Linked DNA regions of Pelodiscus sinensis. The protein of the gene in region 2 purifies or fractionates together with the protein of the main gene of each other region. This does not show direct contact. Links are inferred from orthologs where the notes say so. Each region holds a gene or a part of one and is shown on either strand. Other genes may lie near its edges.

The links.
Region 1: the proteins of PTPN21 (region 2) and thyroid receptor-interacting protein 6-like purify together in Homo sapiens (affinity purification with mass spectrometry; 3 studies listed by BioGRID and IntAct, with this or other methods). This does not show direct contact. The link is inferred for Pelodiscus sinensis from reciprocal best matches to the Homo sapiens genes PTPN21 and TRIP6.

Annotation. Positions count from the first base shown.
Region 1 is NC_134734.1:9,899,478-9,907,614, forward strand, and holds the start of thyroid receptor-interacting protein 6-like, read left to right. Parts: upstream 1-4,857; 5' UTR 4,858-4,878; coding exon 4,879-5,071; intron 5,072-5,381; exon of another isoform or gene 5,382-5,390; coding exon of another isoform or gene 5,391-5,580; intron 5,581-5,804; coding exon 5,805-5,980; intron 5,981-6,423; coding exon 6,424-6,543; intron 6,544-6,549; exon of another isoform or gene 6,550-6,615; coding exon of another isoform or gene 6,616-6,792; intron 6,793-7,244; coding exon 7,245-7,856; intron 7,857-8,081; coding exon 8,082-8,137. Other genes in the region: BCL6B (B-cell CLL/lymphoma 6 member B protein), read right to left, coding at 156-331. UniProt on the Homo sapiens protein: Relays signals from the cell surface to the nucleus to weaken adherens junction and promote actin cytoskeleton reorganization and cell invasiveness. Involved in lysophosphatidic acid-induced cell adhesion and migration.
Region 2 is NC_134714.1:34,178,533-34,186,384, reverse strand, and holds the start of PTPN21 (tyrosine-protein phosphatase non-receptor type 21), read right to left. Parts: upstream 3,094-7,852; 5' UTR 2,672-3,093; intron 1-2,671.

The DNA.
Region 1 (8,137 bases), on a different chromosome or scaffold from region 2:
CCCCACCTATCTAGCCATGCCCTGTCCCCCATCAGCACTCTCTTTAGTCACATCCTATCCCTTACAGCCACACCCTCTCTAGCCATGCCCCAGACCCTGCACCAGCCACATCCTCTTTAGTTAAGCCCCCATCCCTGACAACCCCTTCCCCTCACCTGCAGGCTGCCAGCACAGCCTTGTGGGCCAGCAAGGGGCGTCCCCCCACCAGCAGGGTGACATCGGTCAAGACGTGGCGGTGGCGTAGCTGGTCCAGGTTCAGCAGCACGTCGCCGGCGTGGCGTGTGAACTCCCGGACGCAGCCAGCTGGGCCCCTGGCAGTGCCCCTGCTCATGGCGCCTGCAGATACAGGGGTGGGGAGGGTTCCCGCAGGCCAGATGTGTATGTGGAGGGGAAGAGACAGGGCTACTCAGAGGGGAGGGTAAGACACACAGAGTAGAGGGGCAAGAGTCTTGCATTCCAGTTCCCCTCCCTGGCTCTAACCCACCAGCCCCCGCTCTCCTCCCACAACCAAGGAGAGAACCCAAGAGTCCTGGCTTTCAGCCCTTTCCCCCCGCTTTAACCCACCAGCCCCCACTCCGCTCCCAGAGGCAGGAGAAAACCCAGGAGACCAGGTAATGACAGCTCACCCTGACCAGCAGGGACCCTCGGACACTCCTGCCAGCAGGACTTTCAGGGTGTAGAGGGGTGGTAAAGTCCCAGCTGTTCCCCCGGCCTGGAGAACCAGCCTCCAATAACTCAGCAGGGCTGGAGGCTCTTATAATGTCCTGGAGGGACAGGGGGAAGTTCTCTCTCTAGTTCACATCCTTCCTGCCCCGGCCCAGCTGCCAGGGAAAAGGCGGGGGGTGGAGGGGGGTTATTAATAGACCTTTCAGGAAAAAGGTAGGACAAATCCCAGATCCACAAACAAATGCAGCTCCCCACTCTAACTGCTAGTTCTCATATCCATCCCAGAGCCAAGGCAAGAACTCAGGAATCCTGGCTTCCAGCCCCCTTGTTCTACCCCACCAGGCCTGACTCCCCTCCCAGAGCCCGAGAGAGAATGCAGGAGCCCTGGCTCCCAGCCTCTCCTACTCAAGTCACCCCATTGCTATGCTAAGACACCCTTGGTTCCCCAGACCCAGGAATTGGGAGGAAGGGACTGGGATTTGGGGTGGGGGGCAGCTTGAGTGTTAGGTCTCTGAGTGAATTTGCTCTGTGCCATTTCCTCGTATTGTCTTCGCCTGTGCTGAGGGGCCAGGGCCGGGGGGAAGGCACGGAGGTGGGAATATGATGGGAGGAGGAAATAGACTGTTTGTTTTGGACCCCGATCCCAAGTTTGACGAGATTAAGACACACTGGTCTGGGGGGGCAGGGGAGCAATGGGATAGCTCAAACACATTCAGCTCAGTGCCAAGTGAGGGGTCCCCATGTAACTGGCCGTCCTGCCCCAGAGGTGGCCAAATCTCAGCACTGGGAGAGGGGTCCCTGTGTAACCCGCCACCTCGCCCCAGAGGAGGCTGCATCTCAGCACCAGGCAAGGGGTCCCCGTGTAACCAGCTGTCCTGCCCCAGAAGTGGTCGCATCTCAGTGTCAGGCAAGGGATTCCCGTGTAACCAGCTGCCCCATCCCAAAGGTGGCCAGGTTGAGGGGTCCCTGTGTAACCAGCCACCTCACCCCCTAAGATGGCTGTACCTCAGCACTGGGCGGGGGGCCCTTGTATAACTGGCAACCCCACGCTAGAGATGGCTACATCTCAGTAGCAGAAAGGCGTCCCTGGATGTTTCTGGACACAAAGCCTTTTGTGGTACAGCAACAAATGCAGGAAAAGCTCAGTGGGGAGGGAGGGTGGGGTTCCCCAGGCAGTGACATCATTCACTGCGGGGGGAGGAAGACAGCCTAGCAGCGTCGTGGGTTGGGGCACATTTAAAAGGCAGCTTGAGCAGCCCAGCTTCATTTGAAGCCATTCCCTGTGCCCAGGGCTGCACCCGCTGCCACCTTCCTCTCCGCATTGGTCTGCTGAACCCACATTTGTATGTACCAGCAGCACCAGGGCTCCCAGCCCCCACCAGCAGCAGAATCACTGTAGTTCCAGGACTTGTTGGCACCAGCCTGTGGCCATTCTGTGGCGCTGTGGGACTGCGGAGCTCCCTGACTTGCAGTGTCAGCCCCTTGCTAAGCAGGTGGCATGCTGCAGAACTGGGCCCTGATAACGGGAACTGAGCACCAGGACTTCTGGGTTCTAGCCCTAGCTGTGATGTTGGGTCAGTCCCATTCTGCTGTTCCTCAGTTTCCTTTCTCACATCAGACTGTCAGCTTTTTGGGTCAGGGATTTTCTTTCAGTGTGTGTCTGGGCAGAGTCCTGCCTGAAGGAGCCATTCTCCCTAGATTAGCTATTCAGATTTTCCTGGTGGCTGCCTGTGTGGATGGTGTGGGGAAGTGGGTTTCCAAGTCCCTCTCTCTTATTGGTTTAACGAGGGGAGGGAAGAGGGAATTGGTTGTTACAGGAACCAACACAGAACTGGAGAGTCTGGCCAGTGGGCTGGAGAATGGAGACCCCGGTGACTGGTAGGGTTCCCAGGGGTCCGGTTTTGAACCGGACAGCCTGGTATTTGAGCTTTCTGTCCAGGAAACAAATTGAGAAAATACCGGACATATAAATGTCTGGTATTTTCTAATTAAGTAAGTTTTAATATTATCATGAGTATCAGTACGCAACTACGCAGTAGAGAGGAGGGAGGTGAGGCCAGGGCCAGGGCTAGGGCCGGGGCCGGGGCCGGGGCGGGATGGAATCCCTGGGGCCAGATTTGCTCTTGCGCCCCGCCAGGGCCATGCACAGGATGGGCAGCACCCCGGGATCTGCGTGCACCCGGGCCAGTCCCGCCGGCCAGTTCCTCCTCCACTCCCCTCCCAGACAGCCCCGCTCCCCACTGGCCGGTTCCCCACAGGCCAGCCCCACTCCCCCCTGGCCAGCCCCACTCCCCCAAACCCTCTCCCGGCCAGCCCCACTCCTCACCGGCCACTTCCCCCCCGGCCAGCCCCAATCCCCCCAACCCTCTCCTGGCCAGCCCTGCTCCCTTTGATCCCCTCCCAGCCAGCCCTGCTCCCCCCAATCTCTTCCTGGCCATCCCTGCTTCCCACCGGCCGTTCCCCCACCCTGATCTCCTCCGACCAGCCCTGCTCCCCCCAACCTCCTCCTGGCCAGCCCCGCTCCTTTCCCGGCCAGTCCTCCCCCCAATCTGAGATCAAGTGTGTCTGGTATTTTTTTTAAATCATCTGGTACCCCTAGTGACTGGTGACCCCAGCCCAGACAGTAGAGAGAGGACCCCAATGACCTATCCAGCTGGTTCCAGCCCATGAGGACAAAGGACAGATGAGGGGAAAGAGAGACAGAAAAGAGAGGGGCCAGGGCAAGCTTGTTTACCAGGACAGAAGACATCGACAGCCATAGGACGGTTTGGGGCAGCCACCCCAGGCCCTGTGCCACCCCAGGCCCTGTGCCTTTGGGGTCTCTGTAGTGACCGCCAAAAACATCCTATAGACAAGACCCATGGCATTACATGGTGCCTGGGGCCTGAACAGGGGTGGGGCAGGGCCTGCAGCGGGTGGGGGCCCTGGAAATTAGGACAGCCATGGGGTTTGGGGGCAGGGAATATCAGAGGCCCAGATAGGAAGTGCTCAGGGCGCAGGATAGGAGGGGGAACAGAGCACCCAGAGCCCACCTGGCTTCAGGGAAGACTCAAACATGCTGGCTGTGTCTAGACTGAAAAGTTTTTCTGCAAAATCAGATGATTTTGCGGAAAAACTTGCCAGCTGTCTACACTGGCTGCTTGAATTTCCGGAAAAGCACTGACAATCTAATGTAAAATCATCAATACTTTTCCGGAAATACTATGCTGCTCCCGTTCGGGCAAAAGTCTTTTTCCGAAAGACTTTTGCCCAAAAGGGCCAGTGTAGACAGCATAGTAGTGTTTTCCGAAAAAAAAGCCCCGATCACGAAAATGGCGATCGGGGCTTTTTTGCGGAAAACCGTGTCTAGATTGGCCACGGACGTTTTTCCGCAAAAAGTGCTTTTGCGGAAAAGCATCCTGCCAATCTAGACGTGCTTTTCCGAAAATGCTTTTAACGGAAAACTTTTCTGTTAAAAGCATTTTCGGAAATTCGTGCCAGTCTAGACGTAGCCGCTGTGCTGAGGGAGGCCAGGCCTACCAACCCTGACAGTTTCTATGCTGTGTTCAGACGCTAAATAAACCCTCCTGTTTTATAGCTGAGAGTCGTTTTGGTCTGGAGAACAGGGCTGCATTATTCCCTCTGGGAGTGCAGGCTCAAGGGTCCAGGACAAGTGCACTCCCTGAGGGGGCCCACAACAGAAACAGGCATGCTGGGGGCTCAGAGAGGTGCAGTCCAAGGAGTTAAGGGGCTTAACTCCCAAAAGAGAGTGGCCCCTGAGAAGAGGCTGTCGCAGGGAAGGGGGTTCCCCCAGAGGCTGCACAGGGTCAAGCATGGGCACAAATCTGCAACAGACAGGCTACCAATAATCTCCAGGACTGATAAGGTAGCAGGAGAGGCTCAAGGATTGATAATGCTGGAAGGGAGCCAGGGATGCTAAGCAGGGCCCAGGAAACCCTTCTGCCAGGGAAAAGGCGGGTATCCAGTTCCCCACCCAGAGCCAGGCCGCTCCCTCCCACAGCCAGGAAGAGAACCCAGGAGTCCTGGCTCCCAGCCCCTCCCCGACCCAACCTCCAGCTCTGCTCTAACCCACCACCCCTCACTCCCCTCCCAGAGTGGGCGGGGGACCCTGCCTCCATCCCAGCCCAGGGTGGGCCTAGGTTGCCCCTCCCATCCCATGCTCCCCCCACCGGAAGTGGCAGGAATTCCCAGCCCCACGTGACCCTATCTGGAATGTGGTGTCGTCATCGAGGGGGTCCATTAAAAAGTTTTTGGGGGCAGGTGGGGGAGGGGGAACTTTTCCGGGAAGTTCGGAGCTGGCTGGATCCGGAAGCTCTAGGACTCTTCCCTGCGAGCCAGGGACCCTCCCAGCGGGGCAAGACAGGAGGCGGTGGGACCCCCCGCCGGGATTCCCCCTCGGGGTTAGGTAAGTAGCGGGTCCCTCCTCCCCGCAGGTATTCCCCCACGTGACCAGAGACACCCCCTCCTCGCACCTCTCCTCCCCCCGGGCACCCACGGGGGGGGGGAACCGGAGCAGGCTGGAGTAAGACCCCCACACCCGTGGGAATCCTTCCCAAAACCAGGGCTATGAGGCCAGGTGCGAGTTACATCATCCCCCCCCCTCCCCCGCGGCTACCAGGGCTGCCCCACACCCCTCCCAGAGCTGGGGAGAGAACCCAGGAGTCCTGATTTCTCGCTCTTCCCCCTCTAACCTCTCTACACCACTCCCCCCACAGGTCCCCGAGATGTCCGGTCCCACCTGGCTCCCCCCCAAGCGGGCAAGTTCTTCGGGGTCTCCCGGCGTCTCAGTCTCTGCTCCGGCGCTTTGCAAACCCCAGAAGAAACATGCCACGGGCCCTGCATCCCCCCGGTTGGCCCCCCAGGAACAGAACGGGGAAGGCATGAGTGGGACGGGCTACCAGCCAGAGGGCCCCGGTAAATACCTCCCCCTCCCCCCATGCCCGATGGGTCTGATCCAGGTGAGGGCAGTGGATGCCTGCCTGGGTTGCAAGGGAGCAAATCAGAGCAGAGGGGCTGGAAGCTCACACTCCTGGACTCTCCCCCCAGCTCAGGGAGGAGAGTGGGGGCTGATGGTTAGAGCAGGGGGACTGAGAGCCAGCACAGAGCAGGAGGGGTCTGACTCCTTTTTCCCTCTCTAGGCAGCCTCTCCCCCCATCATCAGGATCCCAGGGGGCCGGCCCCCCTGCTTTCTAGCTTTGGCCCCCTGGCTGGCTCCCAGCATCATCACCCATCTGTCTCTGGGGCCAAGGATGAGCGAGGCCTGGGGGCACCGTGGGGGGCTGCCCTGTCTGCTGCACGAGGATACCACATCCAGGTAGGAGGTGGAACAGGAGGGAGGATGGGCCAGAACATGGAGTCCTTGTAAAGGCAGGACTCAGGGTGAATTTCCTTATGTGCATGGCATTGGAAGGGCATCCCCCCAGCCCGGAGCACCCCTCAAAACCTCTCCTAGCCCTCAGGGATTTGAGGTAGTAGAGGAAGTGGGAGTAAAAGCTCTCCCATAGGGTGACAGCACAGTATCCTTGAAGGCTTAATTTTCCCATAATTAATCTGCCTTTGTCATAGGGGGCACAGGAGAAAGTGCCTTCCTGATCCTGCCCATCTCATGCCCTAGAGCATAATGCCCGATTTTTGTTAACTTGTGGAACTGCCTGCCACTAGGTCAGCAGCTGCACTCTGTGATTCCATCTTGCAAGTCTGGACTGTACCATACAGCCCCCCTATCTCTACACTCTAATCTGCTGTCTGTTTCCTTAGGGATCTGCCCTAGATCCAGGACCCCACCGCCCTTCCAGCATTGACGCCCAAATAGATTCACTCACCCATATGCTGGCAGATATGGAGAGCACCGGCCCCCAGCGCCAGGGAGAGAGGCAGGTAAACAGCCAGGAGGCTTTGGGGCGGTGGTTTCATTGGCACAGACTTTCCCACCAATGAAATGTCAGCCCTATGATCACTTCTTTCCAAGTACCTTCTTGCCCCTCTCCTTGCCATCATATGGCAACACCAGTGCCCAGCATCTCCAGAACCACTGGATCCAGACTCCACATGATGCCATTGGAAAGCAAAGACCCAGAACTTCCAGGTGGTATCAGCTACCCATTTCTCCTTCCCCCAGTTCTCCAGGTATTAGCCACTGGAAATTACTTTCCAACCTACATCCTGCGGTAAGGGAAATCAGGATGGTACACAGGAGTCACATTGGGCCTCTTTTAGTGCCTGATTTCTCCTGAACCATTGGGCATAGAGATGTCATGTGCTGCTGGAAAGCTAAAAATCCAAGCTTGCTAATGGAGTATGCCACAAGCTTTCAGCTTCGACGGTTTGTGCAATATTGATGGTTTTATGGGACCATTGTTGATGTAGCCAAAGTTGAGCGTTAACTTGCAGTCTTGGTGGGTTCCTTGGGGAATGGTGGCTCTTTTGATGTGTTGAGGGTTGGGGTGGGGAGCATTTTGGGGTGAGGTGGATTTGTAGGCTAGGGAGTCATTAGATATCCCCCCAAGTACAGCAGGGATCCCCAAATCCTCACCTATCTGCTTCCAGATGTCTGTTTCATCTTCTCCTTTCGTCTCCAGAACTTCGACTCTGTCCCGTATCCATCAGCAACTGCCCCCCCACAACCTGGCGCCCACAAAATGCCCAGCCCTTACAAGCCAGGCTCCTTTGCCCCACCCTGTGCCTCCAAGAGCTCATCATATGGGCCGTTGCCCCAACCTGCCACCTCAATGGCTCCCTCCGGGCCAGCTCCCCCATATGGGGCTGGCTATCCATGGATGCTGCCTGGGCAGAAGCTGTATCCACAGCCTATGCCTGCATCCTACACCACGGCCTCCACATCAGCTGGGCCAGCCTTCAACATCCAGGTCAAAGTTGCCCAGCCAGTGTTAGGCTATGGTCAGCCGAGACGCCGGGCTGAGCAGGCTTATGCACCCCCATCACCCGGAGCTGGCCGTGGGGCCCAGTACGGCTCAGAGCCAGGTGGCAGGGGGGTGGAGGGCTGGTATCTGGAGCCTGGGGGCTATGGCAAGAGGCTGGGTGAGGGGGAATGCTATGAGGCAGGAGGGCTGGCGAAGCCAGGAGAGGCATCCGGGACTCAGTACCAAGCTGCTGTGGGGACTCCAGGAAAGGAAGAGATGGCGGTGTCAGCAAAGGTGCCCCCTGGTGACAGAGGAGGATACCAGCACCAGGTAATGTGAGAGTAAATGGGCCCCAGGGGCATGAGGGGCAGCCACACATGTAGGTCCTCTGGGACAGGAGTGGGGGGCTGGTGGGTTAGAGCAGGAGAGCCTGGGAGCCGGGATTCGTGGGTTCTGTCCTGCTAGGGATCATCCCAGCTCCTGTAGGGTGCTAGGGTGGGGGTGGGGAATCAGTGTATGCGAAGCCTCCAGCCAAGGTTTCCTCCTCTGTCCCAGACCCCCCTGAGACGCCCGGAGGAGGAGCTGGATAGACTGACCAGGAAGTTGGTGCA
Region 2 (7,852 bases):
GAAACGCCAGACTGCTACAGACAACATGTTCTGCAACATTAACTGTGATAGCAGTTATTAACTATCTGCTCTATCACAGTAGCTAAAGACCTGTCAGTATTTACCATCAAGTCTTATTTTTAGCAGTGTTGTAGTATGGCAGCAAATATTTACTGTGGGTAAAAGCGTACAAGTTTGTCAAATCATGTACATCATTTTGTCAACAAAGTATTGCACGTGATTTCTCTCTTTCACAGTTTGGAGAGAATCAAAACATCAACTCATTTCCAAAGTCTTCCAAACAACATTTATTTGGACTAGCATGTGTTAATATTATATTTCTAAAAGTATTGATTTCTGAGACAACTCCCCTCGCAGTTTGTTAAATCATATACCTTATTTCCATAATACAGATTAATTTTGATGAGGGAGGCACACAGTTCCCTTTTAGTTTCTTAAAACATATAAATATTTGAATTAGGGGGTAGGGATAGCTCAGTGGTTTGAGCATTGGCCTGCTAAACCCAGGGATGTGAGTTCAATCCTTGTGGAGGCCATTTGGGGCAAAAATTCATTGGGGTGGTACTTGGTCCTGCTGTGTAGGCACAGGACTGGACTCAATGACCTTTCAAGGTCCCTTCCAGTTCTAGGAGATAGGCAATCTCTATTATATAAAATCATTCTGACTCCATCCAGGAAAATTCAAAACAAACTCCTACTGAGCTCCATGTTCCCCTTTGTTAGGCACTATGGATGGCAATAAAAGTAGACAAAAATAGACAGACAACCCCATGACACAGAAGACAAGGTGAAGCAGCACCTCAGTGACCTACTTCAGTCCCCACATCAGGAAACCCTCCAAGACCTTTTTGCATGGTAATGCTCCTAATGATTTGGAGCAAGTTGTGCCCTTATATGTAACATACTTACAGAAGACTGCAAGTAATTAGGTAAGCTGTACTGGACTGTCTCCCTGTACACATATGCAATACCTAACAAATTTCTAAGTAGTGAATTACTACTAGAATGCAATAACAATTGATGGAATAAGATTTCCCTGCCTAGGGTGATGTGGGGTTTCCAGGCTTTCCTGTTTGCTCTGTACACTGATCCGCATTGTATCATTATATAGAAGAACTATGCAGGAAAGTTTCCACAGACAGAACCTTGCAGCGTTTCTGCATGCTGAGGGCAGAATCCCCCAGTGGATTTATTCCTTGCAGTGAAACTTGTAGATCACTGACCAAGCTCGGTTTCCTGTGTCTTGTTATTGAATAGATTATGCACGTCTCATTCTTCTAGTTCCAAAACCAAAAACAAATTATGGAGCTTTTAGTCAGTTTTTCTCAGAACTTTAAGTCTGTTTTACATCATTTTAAAAGGATACAATTAAACAATAGCGACTTTCAGTCTTTTTAACTCTAAGGATTTTTTTTTGAAGATGTTATTTGGGTGCTATGTAACGCACTAGCTCCAAAGTGACTGACAAATGACGTTTACTTAATGAAAGTGTCAGATTCCCTGGATTCTCACTGTTAGTTATTTCTTTAATAAAACTAGATTTATGCACAGGAGTGAATTTTATATAAGACTTCTTACTCTGTTAAATAGGAACATTCCAGGTACATTCTGAACATGCCAGGTACATTCTGAAGGCCATATTGTATTCTCTGCATGCTTCCCTGGCGATGACAAACTAATTTTCACTTTATCTGAATTATATTTTTGATAATTTTTGCTTACATATGAAACATGCTTATTTTCACTTTATAAGATTATTCTTAGGAAAGCTATAGTGAAATTAAGTAATTACACGTATGTAATTTTCAATCCATATCACATACATAGCCCCTAACATATTGTAAAATACACTTGTATCCAACAAATAAGAACATGATTTGGGGAATAATGCCCAACAGTCATTCAATAAGTAACTGCTGGCCAGTTTTGTTTTCATTTAGCAGCTGTCATTTTGCTCTACCATCTGCTTCATATTTGTCTTGGGCATTACTTCAAATGTGTGTGTATATATACTGTTATGCTTTAAAAAGAGAGGGAGAACCGAGTTAAGGTGCCAATGCTTGCAAATGAAATCAACTCTCCTGAAATTACAAGTCTTTATTTAGTAGGCCTAGAATTTTCATACATCAGCCAAAAAAGAATTTCACTTGCTACATTCATCCATTCATGCGACACATAAAGTTTAGATAAGAATTTAGCACAATCTGGCCACAAACCAAACAGAATTACCAAGGACCTCTTAAATTCATTTAACTTTGTAAAGCATTTCATCATAACAGGAATGACAGACAGTCTGCAACATAAAAGTGCAACACAGGGAGGAGAAATTAGGTTTCTGCTATTTCAATTATTTAAATGTATAAACTTATTTTATAAATACGAGGCGAACGAAGCCTAAAACAAAACCACTTCCCTCGCCTTGTTACATGTTTACCAGTCAACCGCTGGTTTTACTTACTTCTGGACTAACGGTAAGAGTAAGAGCCAAATGCGCACATCGCAAACTTCTTCTACACAGAGCGAAAAGGCCCTGAAAGCTACACTGACCTCGCCTCTCCAGACTGCTTTTATTTCTCTTAAAGGAAATGCCTAAGCCCGTGTAGCCTGAACGCACAGAACAAAGAGGGGAAGAACATGTTATTTCCAACAGTGCCCGAGCCTTTCCCATTACCTGCTGCAGTGATCCAAAGCCACCGCGTGTCCCTGCCCACATCGTGAGCTGTGACACCCCCATCAGCACCGCTGAGAGCTCTTCCCCCGAAGCCGTCTCATCTAAATTCCTGGGGAACGGGGGTATTGTGCGCCCCTTGCACGAAACAGCTGCTACCTCCGCTCACCCGCCTGCTTCTCAGATCACTCATAGTGAAAACACGCCTCACTTCCTGTCTCAAAGCCCTTGCTCTGGATAGCATTCCACTGGGTATCATTCCACTGGGTAAAGAGTCGGGGAGGGGAACAATATTGCAGCCAAATAAACCTGCCGCAGCAGCCAGCTTTGCAGACAGGAAAGGGCGCTGTGAGGCTTGGCCACAACATGAGTTTTCTGGAATACAGTATTCCAAGTCCTCTCTCGCTCGCTCTCCCTGTGCATGTAATTTCTCTTGCTGGAGGCGTTCCTCTGGCTCTATCCATGCGGAAGGATACGCTGACAGATTAAAGTGAAACCCGTATGCTTGTAGCCTGTTACCTCAGAGAGTTGGAATGCCTGGCAGGGAGAATGTCAGCAATGGGACAGCTGCTTCTCTGGCTACAGGGGCGCTACAGAAATAGGGGTTTACAACAAACCCTATTTCAGATGCCTTCTTTGCAGCAACAGCACTACTGAGCTGAACACAAAATTGATTAGGAGATAGAACTCCCAGTCCTTGGTCAGACAAAATTCCAAGAGAGATCAACAGGAATTTTGCAGTCAGTAAGAACAGTAAGATCAGGCACTAAATGAAGACTAATTAGTTAAATGCTTCATAAACTTGGACTAAAGAAAAGCCTCATATAAATATTAAGGATTGAATCTCAGTCGCTGAGTGGGAATCAGTGGGGAGTTCTACAGAGAAGGAGTTCTGACCTCTCTTCAGGTTTTTGTAATGGAATGACCCTCCTTGTTGTGTGTGACATTGGTAAGCAAGAAGAAGGGGCCAAGAAGAAGGGGAAAAAAATAAGTGAATGTTGAATCATTATCAGAAAATGTCAATTATACAATCTGAACTCTTCTCCACACTCTAGGTAATTTTTACTTGAATGTCCCCATGGACAGCAGATAACTGATCAGTGGCAACAAAATGTAGGTAATATTTGTACAATGAGGAACTTTCTTGAGTTATTTCTTCAATGTGTTAGGCCCCCCACATGGTTTTTATCACCTTTTTTCATTCTGAACACAATTTCTCTGCCCCTCTCCATCTTAATGCTATTGAGGTCTATACTGTATATGATGATTACTGGAAGATGTCTATTCCAAGACAAAAATTAGACTGAGGGATTTTATGTTAGGAGTAAATACCAGTAACAAGTGTACAAAATTACAGGAATATTCCAGTGATTTCCAAAATATGCTGACTTTAAATTTCATTTTAAAGAAATATCAGCATGTTAATGCACCTAATTAACACTAAGGCACCCAAATAACCTTAACTCTGTAGTGATACCATGCAATAACCATTCAATTATACTTAATTCATTTGTGATTTGGTCCCTCCCAGACCATTTTTCTTCCTTAATGGAGTCAACTATGGGGCATAGGGAAAGTTATTTAATACATCCATACATTGCAACACTAGTAGGTTTGGAGAAAAATCTCTCCCCCTGCTCCCATTTAGTACCCTGTCATTGGGAGTGATTGCCCTTGGCTGCAGGTGTCTGAGAGTTCCTACATTTTATCTGTTAAATCCAGCTTTCACTGGATTTACATCTCTGAGAACTCTGTTAGCTCTCTAATTTTTAATCTATGTGTTATTTTTGCATCTTACACTAAGATGGCACCCAGCTCAGCACAAGTGCATGGAGCTTGTTAGTGGGCCCCTCCATGGAACTACATGCAGCCTACATTTCCACCTTTCTTCACAGGCCCTGTATTTCTCTAAGTTTCCTATAAGGGACCCATCCCTCCCATTCCTCTCTGCTTCTACGCCTCTCCTGCTGTCATGTCCCCACATGTTCTGTACTGCTCTCTGTGCTCCCCCAGCCCTCGTTCTTGCAGCCAAGTCTGACAGGCACTCAGGACACTTGTGACAGCTGTGGCTTCATTGCTGTTTAATGCACATGCTTGGATCTCTTACGCAGTTCTTTAGCAGAGGTAGTCTGACTGCTCACGGAAGCAGGGCTGGTAGTGAATTAATGTGCACTACAGCAGGCTCCATCAAGTTGGAGAAGGCTCCGTAGTCAGCTGTAATTCAAGCAAGGGGGACCCTTAGCGAAGCTCCTTCCCTCCCCCGCTCAGTCCTTGGGCCTGCGACAGAATGGGGCTGGAGCTGGGCCCATATCTCCTGGGAGGTCACAGGCCAGTACACACTTTGACCTGGTTGGATTCCCACCCCTCCAGTGAGCAACATGGCTATTAGGCTGTACTAGAATTGATGGTCAACAGACTGACACTACTTACTGCCATGCTTACCACAGGCAGGGGACTGGTTGTGCCTTCATTTGCTGGCTTAGACTGAACTGGTGTTGCCCCATTGAGCGTCTCAGGGGCTTGCCTTTCTCTATCCTTGGAACTTGAGCAATGCCAGCAATGTAGCTGGGTATCGTGGCTAAGCAGGCCATGGTGGTTAAATGCAGGAGTTCACTGTGCCCCCTTCCTGGTGTTTTGGTGTCTATGCATGATTCCAAGGTTTGGGTCAGGGATGGGAATTACTCTTTGTGGGATTTATAAAATCTTCTCTCCTTTTACAAATATATTTTCTTATTCTCTTCCCTTTTGCTACTTAACAGCGTGTGTCTGAAATTTCCTTTTTGTTTTTCGCCACTCAAAAAGGAATTATTTCTGACAAATACAGGATGCTCCATGAAAAAAGGTTAAATCGGAGCTTTCAGAAAATTGCAAAGCCTTTTAAAATATGGAGTGTTGTAGTCCTATCAGGCCCAGGATATTAATAAAATGAAAGAGATAATATCTTTTATTAGACAGACTTCTCTTGGTGTGAGATACAAGTTTTCTAGTTTGCATGGTGCTTTTCTTCTGGAAAGCTTAATCAGAGTATCACAGATAAAAACTCTGATTAAATTTCTCAGACCTGGAGAAAAGCTCTGTGTAACTCAAAAGCTTGTCTTTCTCATCAACAGAAAGTGGTTCAATAAAATATATTGTCACCACACCCATCTTGTCTAAGGGACCTCTTTAAGACCCCTAGGCAGTTATGTGAAATGCATCACTAATTTATTTGTTGAGTTTTAAAAAGAGTGTTAAGTGCCATAGAGTCCTAAAATGACACAGTCACTATCCGGGTTCTACAATGTGTGCAGTCAAATGTGTCCATTATGTTTCTGAAGATGAAACTTTTATCTGTGTTTGATGGGTCCTCTTTCAAGGAACAAATAAGCTCGTAAACAATAAAGTGCAGTTCATAATTTTCTGAGATTATTATTGAGGTTTTCCAGTCACAGCTTTGTAGTTAACACTGATTTTTGCACTTAACACAGAGGTGAATCATTTGATTTATGTATGAAGAATACAGCATATCTTCCCCAGAATTACAGCATTGTATCAGAAAATTCATTCTGTATTCAAAGATAATGTACAAGTAATCCACTAATTAGTTTGGGATAAAATTAATTTTACAATATGCCCTTTAGCATTCAGACCTTCCTTATCCAGACATCATCTCTGCTCCATACTGAATCCGTAAGTAATTTTTTGCAATTGTCCTCAACGTCTTTAGAGTAAATTTAATATAATCTGGGACCATAAACAAAAATTATTGCATCATGTTGATACAGGACAGAGTTAATGTTATTTACATACCTTTACTGTTTATTTCCATATTTAAATATGTTTGTATTTCTTTTAAGTTTTACCTTAACTTCTGGGTTTGTAAGCTTTTTTATGGGATAATTACAACCCTGTAATGTTAATGTTTTTACATTTAAGATAGTCATATGTTCTTTAACTGTAGTTTTTTTTGTATGAAAATAATCTTTGTTTCAATTATTAAAAATAGTATAAAATATACTAAGACCATTTCATTTCATTTCAATGCTATCTCATTATTTCCTTGTACTCTCCTATCCATCTGAAGATATCTGATGTTTTGTCTTAGCAGAGGTGTAGGGGAGCTCAGGGTTGGGGGTTAAGGGAGAGGAGGATTTAGGGCAATAGGTGGTGATGTGGGGGTGCAGGAGTCAAGGGGTCGGCAGGTGTGGGAACTCAGGGCAGGGTGGTTGGAGTTTTGGGGGGGGGGGAGAACTGAAAATGCAGTAACTGTGCTGCCCGGCCAACAGATCCCCAGTGGCTGGAGCTTAGGTGCATTGTGGTCATGCTGCTCAGGGTGTAATCACAAAAGCCATTTTTGTCATTACACTGGCAGCATGCCCTGTCCCCAGCCAGTCATTCTGTTACCAGAAATGGGTGACAGGGGAGGGAATCAAGTGAGGATTACCTGTTGTGTTCCCTCCCTCTGGGGCATCTGGTATTGGCCACTGTCTGCAGACAAGATACTGGGCTAAGTGAACCGTTGGTCTGATGCAGCATGGCCGTTCTTATGCTGTGCTGCACCAGTTTATTTTCATCTTATTTTTAGATTGTAAAATCCCAGGGACAATGGGGATGGGTGGGAGGAGATTGCTGCATGTTTATATAGCACCTAGCACCATGAGGTTCTAGCCCATGACTTGAGCTGTTAAGCAACACTATAACACAACTTTTTAAAAGTTACCATGTGATATATACAATTTAAGAATTTGCAGTTTCACCTGAATTTGTTTTATTTTCAGTTTTTAGGAACAGATCTCATGTGCACTCTGTTTTATGACATTTTTGAGCAGTCCAAAGCAGGGGTGGCAGGTTTTCAGAAATTCTGATGGTACCCAGAAGATCCACCCCTCTCCCATCTGCCTAAGGCTCCTAGATTCCATCCCAGAGCCCACACCCAAGACTTCCTTCCCCCCACAAACTCCACCCCCCTCCCACCTAAAACTCTGGGAAGGAGTTTGTGTGGTGGAGGGTGCCTTGGATGCTGGCTCCGGGATATGGCCTGGGTGCTGGCTTTAAGTTTGGGGTGCTCTAGCCCAACTGCACTGCTGGTGATGGCGGTGGGGCCCCCTGGGTTGTTTTAAAATCACCTGCAGTGGGAGATGGGTCCGCGGGAGAGACCCAGCCTGGAACTTTGGTAGAGCTGGTCCCCAGGCCAGGAATATTCCT